Linked DNA regions of Neodiprion lecontei. The protein of the gene in region 1 purifies or fractionates together with the protein of each later gene. This does not show direct contact. Links are inferred from orthologs where the notes say so. Each region holds a gene or a part of one and is shown in the gene's direction. Other genes may lie near its edges. The genes, in order: NAD-dependent protein deacetylase sirtuin-1 and protein ECT2.

The links.
Region 2: the proteins of NAD-dependent protein deacetylase sirtuin-1 (region 1) and protein ECT2 purify together in Homo sapiens (affinity purification with mass spectrometry; 3 studies listed by BioGRID). This does not show direct contact. The link is inferred for Neodiprion lecontei from reciprocal best matches to the Homo sapiens genes SIRT1 and ECT2.

The regions. Positions count from the first base shown.
Region 1 is NC_060260.1:5,661,342-5,666,618, forward strand, and holds the start of NAD-dependent protein deacetylase sirtuin-1, read left to right. Parts: upstream 1-2,158; coding exon 2,159-2,306; intron 2,307-4,057; coding exon 4,058-4,187; intron 4,188-4,268; coding exon 4,269-4,503; intron 4,504-4,635; coding exon 4,636-4,851; intron 4,852-4,977; coding exon 4,978-5,185; intron 5,186-5,277. Other genes in the region: 40S ribosomal protein S24, read right to left, coding at 835-1,158, 1,582-1,650, 2,024-2,026. UniProt on the Homo sapiens protein: NAD-dependent protein deacetylase that links transcriptional regulation directly to intracellular energetics and participates in the coordination of several separated cellular functions such as cell cycle, response to DNA damage, metabolism, apoptosis and autophagy.
Region 2 is NC_060264.1:21,477,555-21,482,712, reverse strand, and holds the start of protein ECT2, read left to right. Parts: upstream 1-1,855; 5' UTR 1,856-2,162; coding exon 2,163-2,229; intron 2,230-5,158. UniProt on the Homo sapiens protein: Guanine nucleotide exchange factor (GEF) that catalyzes the exchange of GDP for GTP. Promotes guanine nucleotide exchange on the Rho family members of small GTPases, like RHOA, RHOC, RAC1 and CDC42.

The DNA.
Region 1 (5,277 bases):
TAGATTCAAAATTTCGAAGCCACGATATGAAAAATGTCCCGATATCTTCAAAAATGCTCCATCGGAGTAGAAGCCAAGCTATTTTTTAACTCCGTCATAACCGAAGGGAAATTATTAAATTTAATCAAAGATTGAATTACATGAAGGCGACGTTTGCATGACTTACATTTTAGATGGTACAATCTGATGAACCAAGATATTTGTTTTTGAAAAAAATTATGTAAAAGAATGACCCATCACCAAAAAATAGATATTAAATTTAACAATGTCGTATTGTTTTAAATATAAATCGTCATTAAAAAATTCACACTTGATTTATGGATGAGATAGTCCCTTATATGTAAATAATATTGAAAAAAAAAAAAAAACAAATTGAAATCCTCAAATTAAGTCGAAAAGCAAGAAATTTATTTACAATCAGGATCAATTTATAATCAGAACAATACGGTACATACTATAGTTGAAACTTTGACAAAGCACCTGTACCAGATATCTATTTAAATGTCATGCCTTTTGCTACCTAATAGTACGTACTTTATATCATAGTATAGCTTGTACAAAAGCAAAGTTCTCAGTGTCAGTTTTTCACACTTTAAACTCACAAATGTTTAAATGTAACTAATGTAATTGCTGGCTGAAATTCTCAAAAACCCTTGCAAGAAATACTTTTCAACTGTTTCAAAGAATCTTATTTGTTGTACAATGCCATACTAAAGAGAATAACAAACAATACTAAATGATCAAAATCGATAACTAAAATTTTTCTTAGTACAGTGTACAAAAACTACGAATTGATAATAGAGTACTTATAGGAGTTAGAAGTAATCAATTTACCTTCTTGGCTGCAGCTCCAACCTTGCTCTTCTTGGTACCTCGTACCTTCTTCATTCTGTTCTTGCGTTCCTTGCGCTGCTTTCTCGTTTGCTTATGCTTTTCATAAAGACCATGCCTGGCCAACCTGTGTTTAGGCTCAAACTTTTTGGCAAAGTCCAAAGTATCGTAGATAAGACCAAAACCTGTGGTTTTTCCACCTCCAAAATTAGTTTGGAATCCAAAAACAAAGACTACATCTGGGGTCACTTTGTACATCTTGGCCAGTTTCTCACGGATCTCTGTTTTGCGTACCGACGGTTGTCCGGGATGCAACACATCCACGACCTGATAGAAAAATACAGAAGCATGCAAACAACTACATGAATAAATGACAACAGTTATTTATATTACGATACATTCGATGATCTCCTGACGAATAAAATTTCCACTTCATTGCGAGAAACTTTCAATACTTTTGCAATTTTCTTTGAATTACATTATAGTGTCTAAGAGGTAAAAACAAAGCAATTGGCGGTATGGTGACAGGTTATGATGGCATCCAAAAACGTGAAATCGTATCTATTTATGATATGTACTCTATTCATTGATGAATTTGTCCCTCATTTTATATATTCCTATCAAGTCATGTTGAAGGAACAATTGATCAATGCAATTACTTGCTACTTGAATTTATTAGAAGAACGGATTCAAGAGTGAAAAGCTGCATTAGAAGAACAAATCGTTCGGTAAAAAGCTCAAAAACCTTACCATTTGTTTCCGGCATAATAGCCGATTGGTCATAAACTTTCGGGTCCTGATCGTAGCAGTGCCTTCAGTCTGAAATAAAGAATCAACACACATATCACTTTGAGGTTAGGTCGGTCATTACGGAACACTGAAGCTAATGAGTTTCGTTCAAGGTGAAAATTGGTAAGAACATCATGTTCTCGAGTTTTGGCCCGATCTGAGTATAGCGTAGCGTGGTCAATAACATCGTAGAAATGTGTTACAAAAGCGTTAGCCTCCTCCATGCTGACTTTTCGGTTAGTTGAAGACTTATAAAAAAAAATAATCCATGACCCACTGGGACGGAATACAGGATATATATTTCGGAGAACTATTAGTTCAGACTCATTTAGGGCATTCGAGTCAAACAATTTTCACTTCTTATGAAAGATTCCACTCAATTCGACGGATGAAAAATACGTACCATCTTGGCAGTTTGTCGTACGACACGGAAAAGATTTGACCGGAAAAGAGCAGCGCCAGGCACGGCCACGACAGTCTTGCCATCTGCTTCCTATACCGGCTACGCAGCGAACTACGGATTGCATAGCTGTTGAAAATGGCGTCTCATTCGGAGCTGCTAGAATATTCGTCTCCAGCTAAACGTCGGAAGATTGACTGTAACGGTCACGGAACTTCTCAGGGGTCGGAACGCGATTTCGGTGATTGCAAAGCGTCGCACGAGACGGTCCACAACGATCTGGAAGGTATTTTTGAGACAATATGCTAAATTAATAGTGAAAATTTTTCTATATTAAAGATGGCGGCCCGACAGACGGCCGCCCATTTTCATCGATGCCGTTTGTTCTTGTCCGTCGTAGGGGGCGGCCCGCCATGACAGTTCGTCGAGTGCGGCGAAATTTTTATTTTTCATCGTTTGCCTATTTTGAAAAATAACGTCGCTCTTATCCCCGCATAAATTTTGACCATATTATATCCTCATCGCAACGAATCGGATCTCGGTCAATATTTATTTATAATTTTTCGCTAAATAATATTTACATTCGATTCTCGTTCTTCCGCGCGAACTGGGGTCACTGACAGAGAGATCTCGCTCGGTACGAAGTAGTCTAGTGGCGTTCACAGATGGCACAAGTTCCACAAACGCAAAAGATAATACGAACTTGACGTTTACCAGAGCCCGCGAAATTATCTGTCAAATATGCAACAGCACATCGGTTGTTACTTGTTTTTATTATTATTATATTACTTGATGCACACATATATATATACATATTTTTTTTTATCATTCATTATATTTCTCTACATTTTCATTTCATTCTACCAGGTAGAGAAATAAAAAAAAATTACGAAGTTTACTTCATCAGATGGGCCTCCGCACACGATTTTATGAAAACTGTTCATTAGGTGTAAATAATGCATGGAAGTATATTTTTACGTTCTTATTGTTTTTTTTTCAAGATTCCTTTTCTTAGAATTGGTATAATTACTCGTAATAAAGCACAACATAATGTCTTATATGATGGATGTTCTATGGAAAATATGTAAATTGAGTAATGATGTAATAATCATATGTTAAAATTAAATTGTATATAAACAACTTCATTGATTAATAAGCGAACCATTTAGTTTATAATCTACTGTGTCATAGGTATCCAAAAGGAAGATTAAGTTAGGCAAATTGTAAGATTTGAGAATTATAGCTCTTATAATATAGTCTACATTTCAATGAATTTCGTAAAAAACCAAGAAATATATTTAAATTTACTAAAACTATGCAAGTTTTTTTTCAATACTTTAGAAAAAATAAATGTTGCACTCTTATTTTCAAAGGACGATTTGAAAATTGATATGTCTGCCATTTCTTTTTAGCTCTGCATGTACCTCTGTAACATTTGTATGAAATTATCGATCAACATCAAATATGTGTAGAAAATGTGAATTGTAAGCCGTCCGAAAATTTCTCATTCTCAGTTAATGTGGGACAATTTCCTTGCGAAACTACTGATTCCTAGTATGTGAATTATTGTTTGATTGTGATTATGAGAGAAGCAATTATCATTCCTACCACTAATAATGGTATTCTTTTGATATTTCTTTTTGCAATACAAAATGTACCTCAAGTGTAAGGTATTTTCATGTAGCGGAGTATATTTTTTTGGTTTTTTTTTGGCATGATCACCAATTAGTGAAGCTCAGGGAGATATTGATCCGTTTGGAGAGTCACTGATTTTTATATTTCATCAATGGAACGAATTGAATGCATAAATAAACTGATCCTAATATGGATGAATTAGCTGATCATGAAATGTAAGTATGAAAAATAACTTTCATGCCGAAATTGAGTATTATCAACAGAATTGTATTAATGTTGGAAATGTTTAAAGATTATTTTCACCAACTCACTTTCTTATGTAGCACCTGAATAAAACATACTTTCAATTTCGTTTAGTTATCATAAGCTCAGAGAGAATAAGATAATTTCTTTTGGTTCCAGAAACTTTGGGTGGCGACAGTGGATTTACAGAACTCGGCGACGGAACTAAATCTGCACCAACTACACCAGAAACCAATCTTGTACCAACACCAGCTCGCACAGATTCCACAAGTGAAGATACCAGTTATCCGTAAGATCAAATTGTCATTAAATTCTCTTGTAATGACATACCTAGTTATATTATAAAGGCTGATTCATTTCGCTTCTTTAGACCAGACACAGCAAATGAAAAGGACGACGTATCGTCGACCGTATCAAACTTGTCCGAATTATCGGGGCTTTCCGAGCTCTCCGGAGAGGCGGAAGACGGACCACAGTGGAGACCCGTTTCTTCTTGGGTTCAGAAACAAATGCTGACAGGAGCTGATCCTAGGGATCTCCTGCATCATCTTCTCATGGATTCCACACAGATACCTGAAGAGGTTGATGACCTCACTCTGTGGAAGGTAAGTATTTATTGATGTTTCTTAAAACAAGACTTGGTCGGTAATAGACAGTGCTGTAAAAACAATCAAACAAAAACGAAAAGAAAGTGGATGTGTTAATTCAAAAAATTTGTTTCAACCTTGTTGTTTCAGATTATTTTGAACATGATGTCAGAACCACCTAGAAGACAAAAGCTTAGGCATATTAATACACTCAATGATGTAGTTAGGCTGATAAAATCAAGCCGAAAGATAATCGTACTGACTGGAGCAGGTGTAAGCGTGAGCTGTGGCATTCCCGACTTCAGAAGTAGAGATGGCGTTTACTCTAGGCTAGCACAAGATTTTCCTAATTTACCCGATCCACAAGTGAGTCTACCCGAATAAAATGCCGACTCTGAACTGTATTATTTTTATCCATTAATATTAATTCAATGCGAAATACAATTGAGTGTCAATAATTCGAAGATTCTAACGAATTCATTTCATTTTTAGGCAATGTTCGATATAAATTACTTTGCACAGGATCCACGACCGTTTTTCAAATTCGCTCGTGAAATTTATCCTGGCCAATTTAAGCCTAGCCCCTGCCATAGGTTTATCAAGATGTTGGACAAACACAAGAAGTTGCTTAGAAACTACTCGCAAAACATAGATACCCTCGAGCAGGTAGCAGGAATTGAGAATGTGATAGAATGTCATGGTGAGTAACGATAATTATTTTTTACAGCAATAAATACATGGTTTAAGTGTAAGGCAAGTGCCGACAAGTTTTACTTCCAATTTAGTATATAT
Region 2 (5,158 bases), on another chromosome or scaffold:
TTCTGTAACACCCTTGGTTTACACATGTTCAATGAGTTATTTTTCTCCATATTACAAAATTTCATTTTGCTAGAAATAGCTAATTTTCCTTGAAATATAATAGTTAAAAAGTATCCCAGAATTTTTTGGAGCTATTTGAATCAATATCTTTGTTTCTGAACAGTTATTTTTTACGCGGGGTCTCCAGCGAGCCTGGTGTGACAATGTTATACGCAAGAGGTATGCAGTGTAAGGGTTAAGATGATGCCCTGATGGAATCGCAGTAGTAATTTCATGGAATTCATGCTATTTCTTTATTTTTCTATCAAATGAAAAAATACTGGAGTAGTTTTGTTCAGGATTTTGTTTAGAATGGGTCTGTAAAGTTTTTTTTTGGGGTTGAGCTACTTCGACTTTGATATTCAGAGATATATACGTCGACGTCAAAATCGACCAGGGCACCCCCTTAACACTGTACAATTTGACATGAAAGGTTTCTTTGGTGTTGCTACTAGTCACATATTAATTGCTGTCGATCTATCAATAGTCATATCCGGTATCATTTTGTTTCCTTAGACATTTTTTTGATATGCATTTTTCAAACTGTTTGTAGATGTGAACCTTTAGACCACCGCTGATTTTAATCCTAGATTGTATATACGGTCCTGTTAACCACTCCAGCTGTTTTTTTTTTCAGTACCGTTTGGTAGTTGATTGAATTCTTCACCAACTAAACTTCAACAAAATCGGATTTGCTCTTCACCATCCATTTCCTTATTAAAAAACGAAAAGATTTGTGCACTTACGAGTCCTATTATTGCTTTTAGAACGATCTTACAATCGAGAAACGCGTGGGGTTGATAGTGAACCTGCTCACGCGTTAGAGGGTAGAAAAAAAGATACATGTGCTCTAGGGTTCATGTATATTCAAATAAGCTGCATTTAGATTATTTAACTATAGCTTGGCCAATATACTGACCAAGCGGCGGCCCAAAGTTTACAAGATATGCGCTTGTAGACAATTATCATTAAATATATATACATGACACATAAACATGAAATTATCAGGCCGAATTGATTGATCAAAATTTGGAATAATTCGCATTATAAAGGATAGCATTTTGAATTATTCCTACAACTAATTGTGAAGAATTTGCCTAGGGTAGCAGACGGAATTACCCCAGAACATCTCTCCTATCAAAAGCATTCTAAAGTTCCGATTATTCTGAAAAATTCAAAGATTTGGAATTCCGATTATTCAAATTTTTTCAGATCGTTCACAAATTTGAATCTTTTGCAGTTTTGAATCTTCGAAGTGATAAAACTCAATCTCATATTGAATGTTTTATGACCGTTGTCAATGTTTTAATCTTTCTGAACGGGTTTTCCATCAAATATCAACGGGGTTTGCCATGTTTTTGGGGCAACTGTACATGCGTTGAATCCCGCGAATTTGCGACGACCTGCAACGTGTTGACGCCTTTTTTGTTTCAGCTGTTCCGTCGTCTCGACGATGACGACGATCATCGGGAGGAGCGATTTGTCGACGCGCGGTGGCGATTGCTAATGATAATCAACTAATAAACTGCTAGACAAAAACGAAAAAAAAATAGAAACCAACAGCTACAAACCAGCCGAGTGAATAATAAATATATCCAATAAAGACATTGAACAGACAATCGGCTAGTAAATCATAAATAGTAAAAATATTCTCTTCCTTCCTACTTTTTCTTTTTATATATCTTCTTCCTCTTCTCCCTGCCGCCTCTTTCCCGCCTCTGACAAATGGAACGAGGCATGCACCTCAACAATTGAATAGCGGCAGGAGGGGAGGACGCACCTGACGCAAAGGTTCGTCGTTGAAACGATTACGGCGAGAACTGGAATTAACGGAAATTAGGCTGTAACGGCGGTAAAAACGGGTGAACTACGAAGAGAGGGGGAAATTTGAATAAAATTGAAATCGATCAGGAATAAAAAGAAGAGAATAAACAATATAAAAAGAGGAGGAAGAAAGAGGGAGAAACAGAAGGCGCGAAGAAACAGGCGACGGACTTCTTATTTTCGGGCAGCCGTAAAAACGACTGCGAAATAAACGCCGTCGTACCTGACGTTGTGTTGTGCTGTTCTCTCTCTACACGTTGACGACCCCGCCACCTCGACGCGCGATTACTACTGCCAAAATGGAAGAGCAAAGCGTGCACAGCAGTACCAGTGATATAAATAGTGAAGAGGCGGCCGCCACCGAACGTAAGTTACTTGCACACTTTGTTGAAGACACACACGCGTGTCTCCCCCTTCGTCCCTTCTCCATAACTTTCCTGTAAACTAGGGAAAAATTCAGCAGATACTTGTGCCCATCCTTACCGACCGAGTCATTTTCTTTACTCTGCATTTTGGGCCATGTTCTTCGGAACTCGGGGAATGTCCTAGATTTTAGTAGACGTATTGAAAATAAAAAGTGAAATGATAACTTGGTAGTATTTTCATCTTCTATTAACGCCAGAAAAAAACATCACCTTTACATATGCTCAAAATAGATTTCATACAAGCTCAGCAATGGCTATGAGTGACATGTTTCTGAAAAAATCACAAATGTATCTTTCCCATCCTTCCTTTACCAAGAGTTATCTGTAAACATGTTAATACGTGTTTGAGGCTTTGATTCTCTTGTTTTTGAGCGATGCTTCTGTCCTTTACCAACCGAATGAGTTTTTTATTCTATGCATTTTTGGGCGATAGCGGCCATGTCTGCATCGCCATGTTTGGGATCAACTAATCAATGAAACGAATTTTGGATAATGCTCTTGAAACTATTCATGTGATTGGTTCATCTCACATTAGACTCTATCAAATCTGTGCAATGTAAACATGTCCAATGTACCCAAGAAAGAGTAAAATGATGTTTTGGCACTAATGTCATATTAATGCCAGAAAACACATTATCACATTTATAGGCTCAGACTAGATTTCACATAATCTCAGCCAACTTTAGACCAACATGTTTTCTGAACCATCCAGAAGAACGATGACGTAGTTCGTAAAGACAGAGCTGTTGCCTGTTCGTAACATGACGCTGGATTCCTACTTTACCAAAAAAGATTATTGACATTACAGATTTTCAAAATGACCCTCAAACACATTCATTAAATTCAACTTCTTTCTTGCAGTGAATTAGTCGTTAAGAGATGAAAGCCATCGCGTCGAAGTTTACAGGAGAATTGAGAAAAAATAATAGTCATCAGCATTAGTGGGTCTTGGAAATATCCTATAATCTCATATTCTGACCTTTAAAGTTAGAATCGATTTAGTTTAATTAATGAAAAACATATTCTAAAGAATTGAGCCCTTAGTAGGCCAGAAAAATTAATTTCAGGATTTTATGCATTAATTTAACCCGACATCCTGTGACAAAAATGATGATAAATAAATTACAATGTCATGTTTTTTTAACGGCAGTGAGAGCGAGATCGACAGACTTGCGAGCTTTGATCGTGCTGATGATAAGATAAAGTTATTAAGTACCATCCCAACCCATCCACTCTAATTTCAACCGAATCATTACGGACCTGGGAGCTGAAAATTTCCAACTAGTCTGGAAATATGATTGAAAGCCTTAGACTCATTTATTTAGTAATGGTACTTATTTAATGATTGCTCAATCAAATGCTAAATTTGATCAATTATTTATCCATGGGATTACAATTTTTTTTTGCCCAAGACTCAGCATAAATTGAGCAATGAAATTTTGTTATTGCTGTTAACTGTATACATTTAAATATTCCATTGTCGGGGCCGAAACTAAATTCGTAAGTTTTACTGTGCATTTAACGTCTGCTGTAAATATAATTTTCTTATTTTTCTTCCCTCTCGTTCACTCGCTGCTGTCTCTCTCCTTTGTGTCGTTTCTGCATAAACAAGAATTTTAATGGACGGATTGACGGAACCTTGATATATCGTTTTATTATTTTTAATCAAACAAAATTATTTGTATATTTATGTATCTATTTCCTAGACATTGATAACAGTCGTTAATATAACGTACGTTTTCCTCATTTATTGTGCTGTTCTAGTTTAATTATTATTATTATTATCGTTATTATTTATTAGCGAACATTTTACATCAGTTTTCAGAAAAAATAATTTTCCACTTCTCCTTATTTCAAAATCTAAAACGGACAAGAAAAATGTTCTTTCTGTATTTGTGCATTTAGTGGTCATTTTTATTGTCATTTACATTATCATTTTAAAAATATGTATCAAATTGCTGCGAGCCCCGGAAGCTGGTGCGTTTCAAACAACATTAGTTAAGTTAACGTCTCGTAGATATTATATATTCATGCTCATCTCTCTCGTTGTGCGACGTGATGGTAATAGTCTAAGAGCTAGTGAACTTTTTAGTTACGTCATTTCATAAACAAAATTTTCCATCTTGTCATACTCTCTTAACATAGCTAATAATTGATTCGGAAGTCTGCCTGGCCTCCAGTACTGGAGAACGCGGTGGGAGGGGTGCAAAGGGTTAAAAAAATCAATTGAAAAACGTCATTTCATAAGCGCTAATTTTTTGTGTGGTAGCAGAGAATGATATTTTGAGTTGAATAGTAAAAATGGCAGACACCTCGGTCGCTGGAAAAATGGCGGCAGACAACAATAAAGACACGCGAAAATGTATCTAACTTACGTCATACTATAAGGGTTGGAACAAAAATAAACTTTTACAGGAAGTCATCCAAATTTTATATACGAAAGGGCAGACAAATATCTTGACCCGAACACCGTGGCAGACAACGAAAAAGACCGGTAAATCCGCGCAGATTTGGAAGCGGGCGCTATAGTTATTTTCGATTACCAGAATGTTATTTCGTTATATTGTTATATAGCAGGGTGAGGATATGTATTTTTAAGTATTATTCATGATTATTATTGTTATTATTATTATTCGTTATTGTTTTATTGTTATTATAAATAATTGATTGTGAAAGTATAAATACATTTTTCAAGCAGAAATACAAAATATACGTAAAAAAGGCGAATTTGTTTTTATACGTCTTCAAAATCGTCAAATAATTCGTCTGAACTGTTGCCATCGTTGTACTCGTTGTCGAAATTATTTTCAACGTCCTCGTCGTCTGTAAAGTTAAAAAAAGGTAATGAAAGTGTGGCAGTGACCGTATGC